Linked DNA regions of Sus scrofa. The protein of the gene in region 1 purifies or fractionates together with the protein of each later gene. This does not show direct contact. Links are inferred from orthologs where the notes say so. Each region holds a gene or a part of one and is shown on either strand. Other genes may lie near its edges.

Region 1 (3,822 bases):
CACATAATAATCTCTACCATTACTATACGAACAGAAATTTTTTATTAAACATAGTTGATTTATAATGTGATTTCTGCTGTACAGCAAAGTGACTCAGTCATACATATTTATACATTTTTTTAAATTTTATTTTTCATCATGGTCTATCCCAGGAGACTGGATATATTTCCCTGTGCTATACAGAACCTTACTGTTTATCCATTCTAAATGTAATAGTTTGCATCTACTAACCCCAAACTCCCAGTCCATCCCACTCCCTCCCCCTCCCCCTTGGCAACCACAAGTCTGTTCTCTATGTGTTTTTATACAAATGGAAATCCTGCATGAGAAAAACCTATCAAAGGAAAACAAGATAAGAAATAATTTGGGAGTTCCCATCGTGGCACAGTGGTTAACGAATCCGACTAGGAACCATGAGGTTGCGGGTTCGGTCCCTGCCCTTGCTCAGTGGGTTAACGATCCGGCGTTGCCGTGAGCTGTGGTGTAGGTTGCAGACGCGGCTCGGATCCCACGTTGCTGTGGCTCTGGCGTAGGCTGGTGGCTACAGCTCCGATTCAACCCCTAGCCTGGGAATCTCCATATGCCGCAGGAGCGGCCCCAGAAATAGCAAAAAGACAAAAAAAAAAAAAAAAAAAAAAGAAATAATTTGGATACAAATGAAAGAAAAATACACTTTAAAAAGGAAAATTAATCTAAAAGCTGTTTTTCCTTTTAAAATGCCCCATAAAAAAAGTAAACCTTTGGCAGTAATAATAAAGTAGAAACAACAGAATTTCTCCACTTGAATGGTTAATGGAATATTAAGAATACTATGATAGTGTATGTGTGACCAGGTCATCTTGCTGTGCAGTAGAAAATTGACAGAACACTGTAAATCAGCTATAATGGAAAAAATAAAAATCATTATAAAAGAAAAATATGATAGAAGTAAATTATATTACCAAACATTTAAAGCAGATGGTTAGAGATGAATGCTTTTCTACAAAAAGATAAAATACAAGGAAATACTAAAACCCTAATAAGTTAAAAAAAAAAGGGGGGGGGGAACCATCTACTGAAAATAGCCTAGAAATCTGAACTAATGCAAAAACTTCCTTCTGTCTACTCTCCTGGTCTCCACTCCAAGTCTTCCTCCACCCAGCAGCCAGAGTGACTGTGTCATTACCCCCAATACCCCTTCAAGTGGCTGCCACTGGAATCCCCAGGCTTGACCTCCGGTCATCCGTCCTCTGGTGCACTGGCTGCATCACTGTGGCCTTCTTTAGCTCCCTGAAGGCTTTACACTCCACTGCAACTCAGCGTCTCTGCACAAGGCCTTCTCTGCCTCGAGTGGTCTCCCCATCTCTCTGCCTGACTACTTCCTACAACCAGAGAGGCCTCCCTTACATCCCACACTTAATTTAAATCAAGTCCCTGTACATATTCTTTCATAGAATTCTTTTCCCTATTAGCATTTATAATTATAACTGTTCACTGTTTGCCTAATTGTTAATACTTATCTCCCCAAGTAGATGTTTCTTTCTTCACCAACATATCCTTAACTCCTGGCATATACAAGGTACTCAGTAAATATTCATCAAATGAATGATGAGATTGATGAAGCTAAATAAGAAAACAGAGACCAACTCATGAAGGGCCTTTTATACCTCGCTATTCCAAGGGTAAGAGAAGGCAATAGAAGAGTTTTAAATGGGAGAATGACATCATTGAACACATACCTATCTCAGCAAAGCAGTATTAACAGCAGGCATGTCATATGTATGACAAGAATGTCCTATTCCTTCCTACAAACATAACAGACACTCTTCTAAGATACTCTTTTTCCACTGAACTCAAATCGGGCCTCAGAATCCCTCTCCGGGCAGACCTCCAGGAAGCCACTGCCAGTCAATTAGTGTGGCCCAAGGGAAGAAACTTGATGACAGCTCAAAAACCCCAAGGTCTAGTATAAATACAGTGGAAGACTATGAACCATTTTAAAAATGAAGGAGCCAAATGTTCCATGGAGAACATTAGGTTAGAAAAGAAAATCTTGATGTAACAATTATCCAACTTTTAGTAACAGTACTTTACAAAAACCTAAAACAAGAGCTGTACAACAGTAGCTTGCTTTTAAAAACATTTCTTTTGCTTACTTTTAACTAAATTTATATTCACAGTCGGCCAATGATTAAAGAATATTCTTGCCCCATTACCACTTGACTTTCGTATTGGAATCAAGGGCACGAACAAGCCTCCATATATTCCAGAATAATTATCCCAATTACATCATCTAATACTGGTGCCAAGTGTACAGTTGGTGCTAAATGCAGCTGTGCTAAGCATACAAGGTACTTTTAAATCATGGGAGCTGGTCCTGGACTTACTCTCCATTTTTAAAGGCCTTAAAACTGGGACCAGTGAAACTATATTTTGATAATGGGAAGAGAAAATTCACTTGATAAAATATATCCACGTATTCACCATTTAATTCCCCCAACTGTCCCAGCATGCTTACCTTTTTGCGTACTCCTTCTTGGGTGCTGGACAGCTTGAGCAAAACAGGAGGAAGGAATTTAGATATAATATTCTGTAACTGTTCATCTGTTTCAGCATGGCCAAGTCGTAAAAAGACCCGTTCAAGCTGATCTAAAATACAGAAGGAAAAAAAGGAGAATTTAGCAGATCAAACACAACCAACACTAATTACTTTTACAGTTTAATCCTTTTTTCTATACTGCAGATCCTTCAGTCAGAACTTTAAAGCTAGCTCTGTATGCAGATGCTTTTGGCACAGCTCTGAAACAACACTAAAAAGGTTTACTAGCTAATTATACTGTCTTAACACTTGTCCTGGTCATTGAATCTCTAGACGAGAAGAAAACAAAGCCAAGAACAGCAAATCTCTCTCCTACATACGAAGTTACTTGGCTTTTCTAAAGGATTTGGACACTAGGAAAGACACAAGGTTTTGAAGAAATCTTTTAGACCTCACTAGCAGAGCGAGGCAGGAGAACTATAATCAGATACCAGGGATAAGACATCTTTGGTGAAACCATCTTACTAATGAAGTTCTCCAAAGGCAGAATCACTGCCCACTACCGCTGGGATTAGCTAACCAGACCGTGAGACAAATTTCCACCAAGAAAGCCACTGAGAGAGAAACATGATAGCACCATGGGAATGCTCTCGGCAAAAGCCAGGTTGTGATAAACTGGAGAATAAGAAACCCAACCAATACACTGCAGGGGAGGAGATGCGACAGAGGTGAGAGGGGAACCTACCAAAGGCATATGACTGAATATTTGATTTTTTTAAATTACTGTTAATTTTGTAGGTGTTATAATGGTATTTTGGTTATGTTTGTTTTTTAAAGATTCTTACAAAAAGTATCAGTAATGAATAGGGAGTTTCCAAAGGGGTTGGAAATGTCCTATATCTCAATCTGAGTGATGATTACACAGATACATACATTTATAAAAATTCACAAGCTCTACACTACCATAATTTCTACTGGTTCTATTATACCTCAACTTTAAAATTTATTTAAAAACAGAGAAAGACAAATACCATGTGATACCACTTATATCTGGAATCTAATATATGGCACAAATGAACCTATCTACACAAAAGAAACAAACTCATGGACATAGAGAACAGATTTGTGTGCCAAGGGGAAGGAGGAGGGAGTGGGATGGACTGGCAGTTTGGGGTTAGTAGATGCAAACTATTGCATTTGGAGTGGATAAGCAATGAGATCCTGCTATAGAGCACAGGGAACTAGATCTAGTCACTTGTGAAGGAACATGATGGAGGATAATGTGAGAAAAAGAATGTGTGTGT
Region 2 (3,822 bases), on another chromosome or scaffold:
GCTGGTCTAGTGAGTATGATCAGAGGACACAGAGGGCCAGGGGTAACCTTATCAATTTCAGTTTCAAAAGAATGCTGTTTGCTGATGCAAAATAACACTGAGTTAAGAAGTAAATGAAAGAAAAGAAAATGGAGAGAGACAATACAGTTCTCTTCCAATAAGTTTACATCAGAAGAGGAGGAAAAAGATGATAATGATTAAAAAGGGAGAATCAAGTGGCGAGGAAAGATTCTTTTAGGATAGGTGAGACCTGATAGGCTTATGGACTCAGGGAGGCAGCACAGAAGGAGACTGAAGACAGAGAGAAAAAGGTATTTAATGGAACATGGTTATGAAGAAAGTGGGAGAAAATGGTGTCAAAAGCGAAACTTAGTCTTTATTTGAAGAATATTTTTGTGAAGATCTGTTATTTTTGAATAACAGTATCCTTTTATTGGCGAGAGCACCCCAATCCTGCTTGGGGAATAGTCTTCCCACTGGTCAGAGTCTTGGTAGGATTGTCATTCAAAGCAAAGCTCCCACCTTCCCCTAGCCAAAGTGTACGCCTGTAACTTGACAGGCCGATCAGACGCTCCTCTGGAATTTTAAGCTTTCTTAAGTGGAATGACTGAAGTTCATTCCTTCTGACAGAAGAGCCCTGAAGAGATGACCCCATTAGTTCCTACTATCTAGATCCCTAGAACTGCCCTGACTCTTAATCTCTGTGAGCTGGTTCATCAGCTTTTCCTATGCAAGCTACTTCCAATAAACTCCTTGTTTAAGTTGGTCAGCAGAGGTTTTTATTGCTGGTAACCAAAAACTTTATCTGATAAGAAAATTTTTACCTGAGACCAGTGGAAATGAGGTAGAGATATGTGAAAGATACATAGGATTTGTGGATAGGGGGCTTATTAGCCCAGAGAGACCATCCTACTGGCCTCAATCTTTTCACTAAATAGGACAGTTTTCTGGCTCACTCAGCTACTCTCTAAACAGCCTTCTAAAAGAAACTAACATAAAAGTTAAAAATCCTCTTTCAAGGTTCCTTAAAATAAGAACAGGGCTGCTTAATAAGTTTTTTTTCAAACCAATTACACTTAAAAAAAAATCACCAGGTGTTCCCATTGTGGCTCAGTGGGTCAAGAACCTGATATAGTGTCGGTAAGGATGCAGGTTCAATCCCTGGCCTCACTCAGCAGGTTAAGGATCCAGCTTGCTACAAGCTGCAGCTCAAATCTGGTGTTGCAGTGGCTGTGGATCCAATTCGATCCCTAGCCCAGGAACTTCCCTATGCCGCAGGCGAGGCTGTAAATAAAAAAAGAAAAAAAAAACCTCATCAAAGAGCAAACAAGCAAAAATTCTGATTCTTGAGCAAGTACATATAATTTCTTTGGGCTTTAGCTTCCTATAAAATAGAATTAGACTAAACAATCACTGATCACTTATATAACACTACAAGACTAGCGTATGGGAGTACAACATGTATTTTATAAGTATCTGGTACTTTATTTTGCTTGTCAGAGACAAGGTTTAAAGGACCGATAAGCAAAATTTTAGCATATAAAGAAGGAAAGGAAATTATCTTTATAAGAAAAGATTCCATGAGAACAGTACCGGTTTGGGAATCCTACAAAATTTCTATTCACTAAAACAACTGGCAAATATAATGTTTCCCTGGACTCTTAAGTAATGGGAATTTAGTTTTTCATTCTAAGACTTACATCATTGCTCGCATTCTTGAGCTGGTTAAGCAGATAGTCAATTATATCCCCACCATGATTGGCATGGATGAGACCTAGTGCATAGAGGCCTCCACCTTCCTGATAGGCTGATCCTGGAGAGGTGTCCTTGGGAAGATACGTTGCCATTAACTGTAATGCTTCCTTCTCATGACCCTGTAAATTTGAGCCATCGCAAAGGTGTCAGTAAGAGTATGTGAGAGAAAAAAAGCATGACATTTTCCATGATCACTGTCTTTTCTCCAGAGAAGAGGAAGTGGGGCTCTCTCCTAAGCAACTTTACCACTCTAATGAGAAGACAGCTTTTAGGAGATCCAGGCACATCTCGGTTAAAAGCAAATGCTTCAATTTTCAGGCCCTGTGTTTCACAACATTTCCCCAAATTCATCTTAGACTAGGCAAATAACTTATTCCAGTTCATCTTCTGGGAAATAGTTTAGAGTCTTCAAAGGAAAAAGATTTCCACTTTTTATAACAAACAAACACACATTTCTTATTTACTTTATCCTTCCTGTAAGAAGACTAATCCAATTGAACAAAATGTCCTTGTCAATGAATTATAGTAAACTTTACTCCAAAAAAATTGCTTCTGTTTGGATGTATGCTCACCCTGATCAGTATACATTACCTTATGAATTACACCCAAACTGGCTGTGGCTGTAAATTTTGCCCAGTTAGTGGCTCTGGCTAACCATTCCAAGTTATCTCTGTAAGAAAAGAAATTTTAGCAATACTATTGAAATGCACTCCATAAAGCTTTTTAAAACACTAAAGTAAAGGAATTAAAATTTTGCCTTAAGCTGTTATAAATCATTTTACTTTATGGATCTCAAGTTACTGATAATTCTATTTTACTTTCTAAGTTGCTCTTAATACATTTGAGGACATTTTTTTATTAATACATTGTATGTAATACCATTGTATCAAATTTCTGAGCTTAACACATTTCGTTCAAAAACCTACATTCAAGGTAACTAATAAGGAAAATTAATTTTAGCTCAAAACAAGGAAGCATATATAATTTAAAACTATATAAAATGGTAAAAAGAGAATTCAGAATTCAGGACTGGCAGGTAGGGAATTCCCCACATCCATGTAACAATTTCAACAGAGCCTCTGTTAAAGACACTCTTAAGCCAAAATGGGAACCTACAAGCATATTTACCTAAGAAACTGGTCACTGGTAGTCCCACAGTGCATAAAAGAGTTTGCTATAACGGTAGCTGTGTGACATACAGAATTCCTTACTGCATCCTAAAAAACAAATACAGCTTTTTATCATTGGCAAAATACTCATACATATGTAGGCTTGCATGTGAACATACAGTAAGAACCCCTGTTTTGTGACAAAAACATGAATAAACTGAACTGATACTTAAAATATGAATCTTGGATATCTCTTTATAAAGCTTAAATAGCTAGTTTATAAAAACAAGCAAGTCAAAGTTCTAATTGTTGTCTTAATTTGGGGTTTGTAGATTTTCTATTTTTTGGCAGTTCTCTTCAGTGTCTTGGCCAAGGTCTCCAAAATGGTGGAGTAACCTGAGAAGCAATGCTGCACCTCTTCTGGCACTGTATCTCTGGTAGTCACCAAAGTAACTTATTTTATTTTTTATGTTTAAAAAATTTGGGGAGTTCCCGTCATGGTGCAGCAGAAACGAATCTGACTAGGAACCATGAGGTTATGGGTTTGGTCCCTGGCCTCGCTTGGTGGGTTAAGGATCCAGCGTTGCTGTGAGCTGTGGTAAGGTCGCAGATGCAGCTCAGATCTGGTGTTGCTGTGGCTGGGCCGAAGACTGGCAGCTATAGTTCCAATAAGACCCCTAGCCTGGGAACCTCCATATGCTGCGGGTGCAGCCAAAAAAAAATTGGCCCCACCTGCAGCATATGGAAGTTCCCAGGCCAGGGATCAAATGTGAGCTGCAGCTGCAAGCTATGCCACAGCTGCAGCAACACCAGATCCTTAATCCACTGCACCATAGCAAGAACTTTAATTTTTCTTTCTTTTTTTTGCTTTTTAGAGCCAAATCTGCAGCATATGGAGTTTCCCAGGCTACAGCTGCCAGCCTACACCACAGCCACAGCAACTTGATCAAGTCTACAA

Evidence for each region.
Region 2: the proteins of KIAA0368 (region 1) and PSMD1 purify together in Homo sapiens (affinity purification with western blotting; 3 studies listed by BioGRID, with this or other methods). This does not show direct contact. The link is inferred for Sus scrofa from reciprocal best matches to the Homo sapiens genes ECPAS and PSMD1.

Annotation. Positions count from the first base shown.
Region 1 is NC_010443.5:252,299,249-252,303,070, forward strand, and holds part of KIAA0368 (proteasome-associated protein ECM29 homolog), read right to left. Parts: intron 2,629-3,822; coding exon 2,498-2,628; intron 1-2,497. UniProt on the Homo sapiens protein: Adapter/scaffolding protein that binds to the 26S proteasome, motor proteins and other compartment specific proteins. May couple the proteasome to different compartments including endosome, endoplasmic reticulum and centrosome.
Region 2 is NC_010457.5:131,831,547-131,835,368, reverse strand, and holds part of PSMD1 (26S proteasome non-ATPase regulatory subunit 1), read right to left. Parts: intron 2,973-3,822; coding exon 2,884-2,972; intron 2,426-2,883; coding exon 2,347-2,425; intron 1,875-2,346; coding exon 1,701-1,874; intron 1-1,700.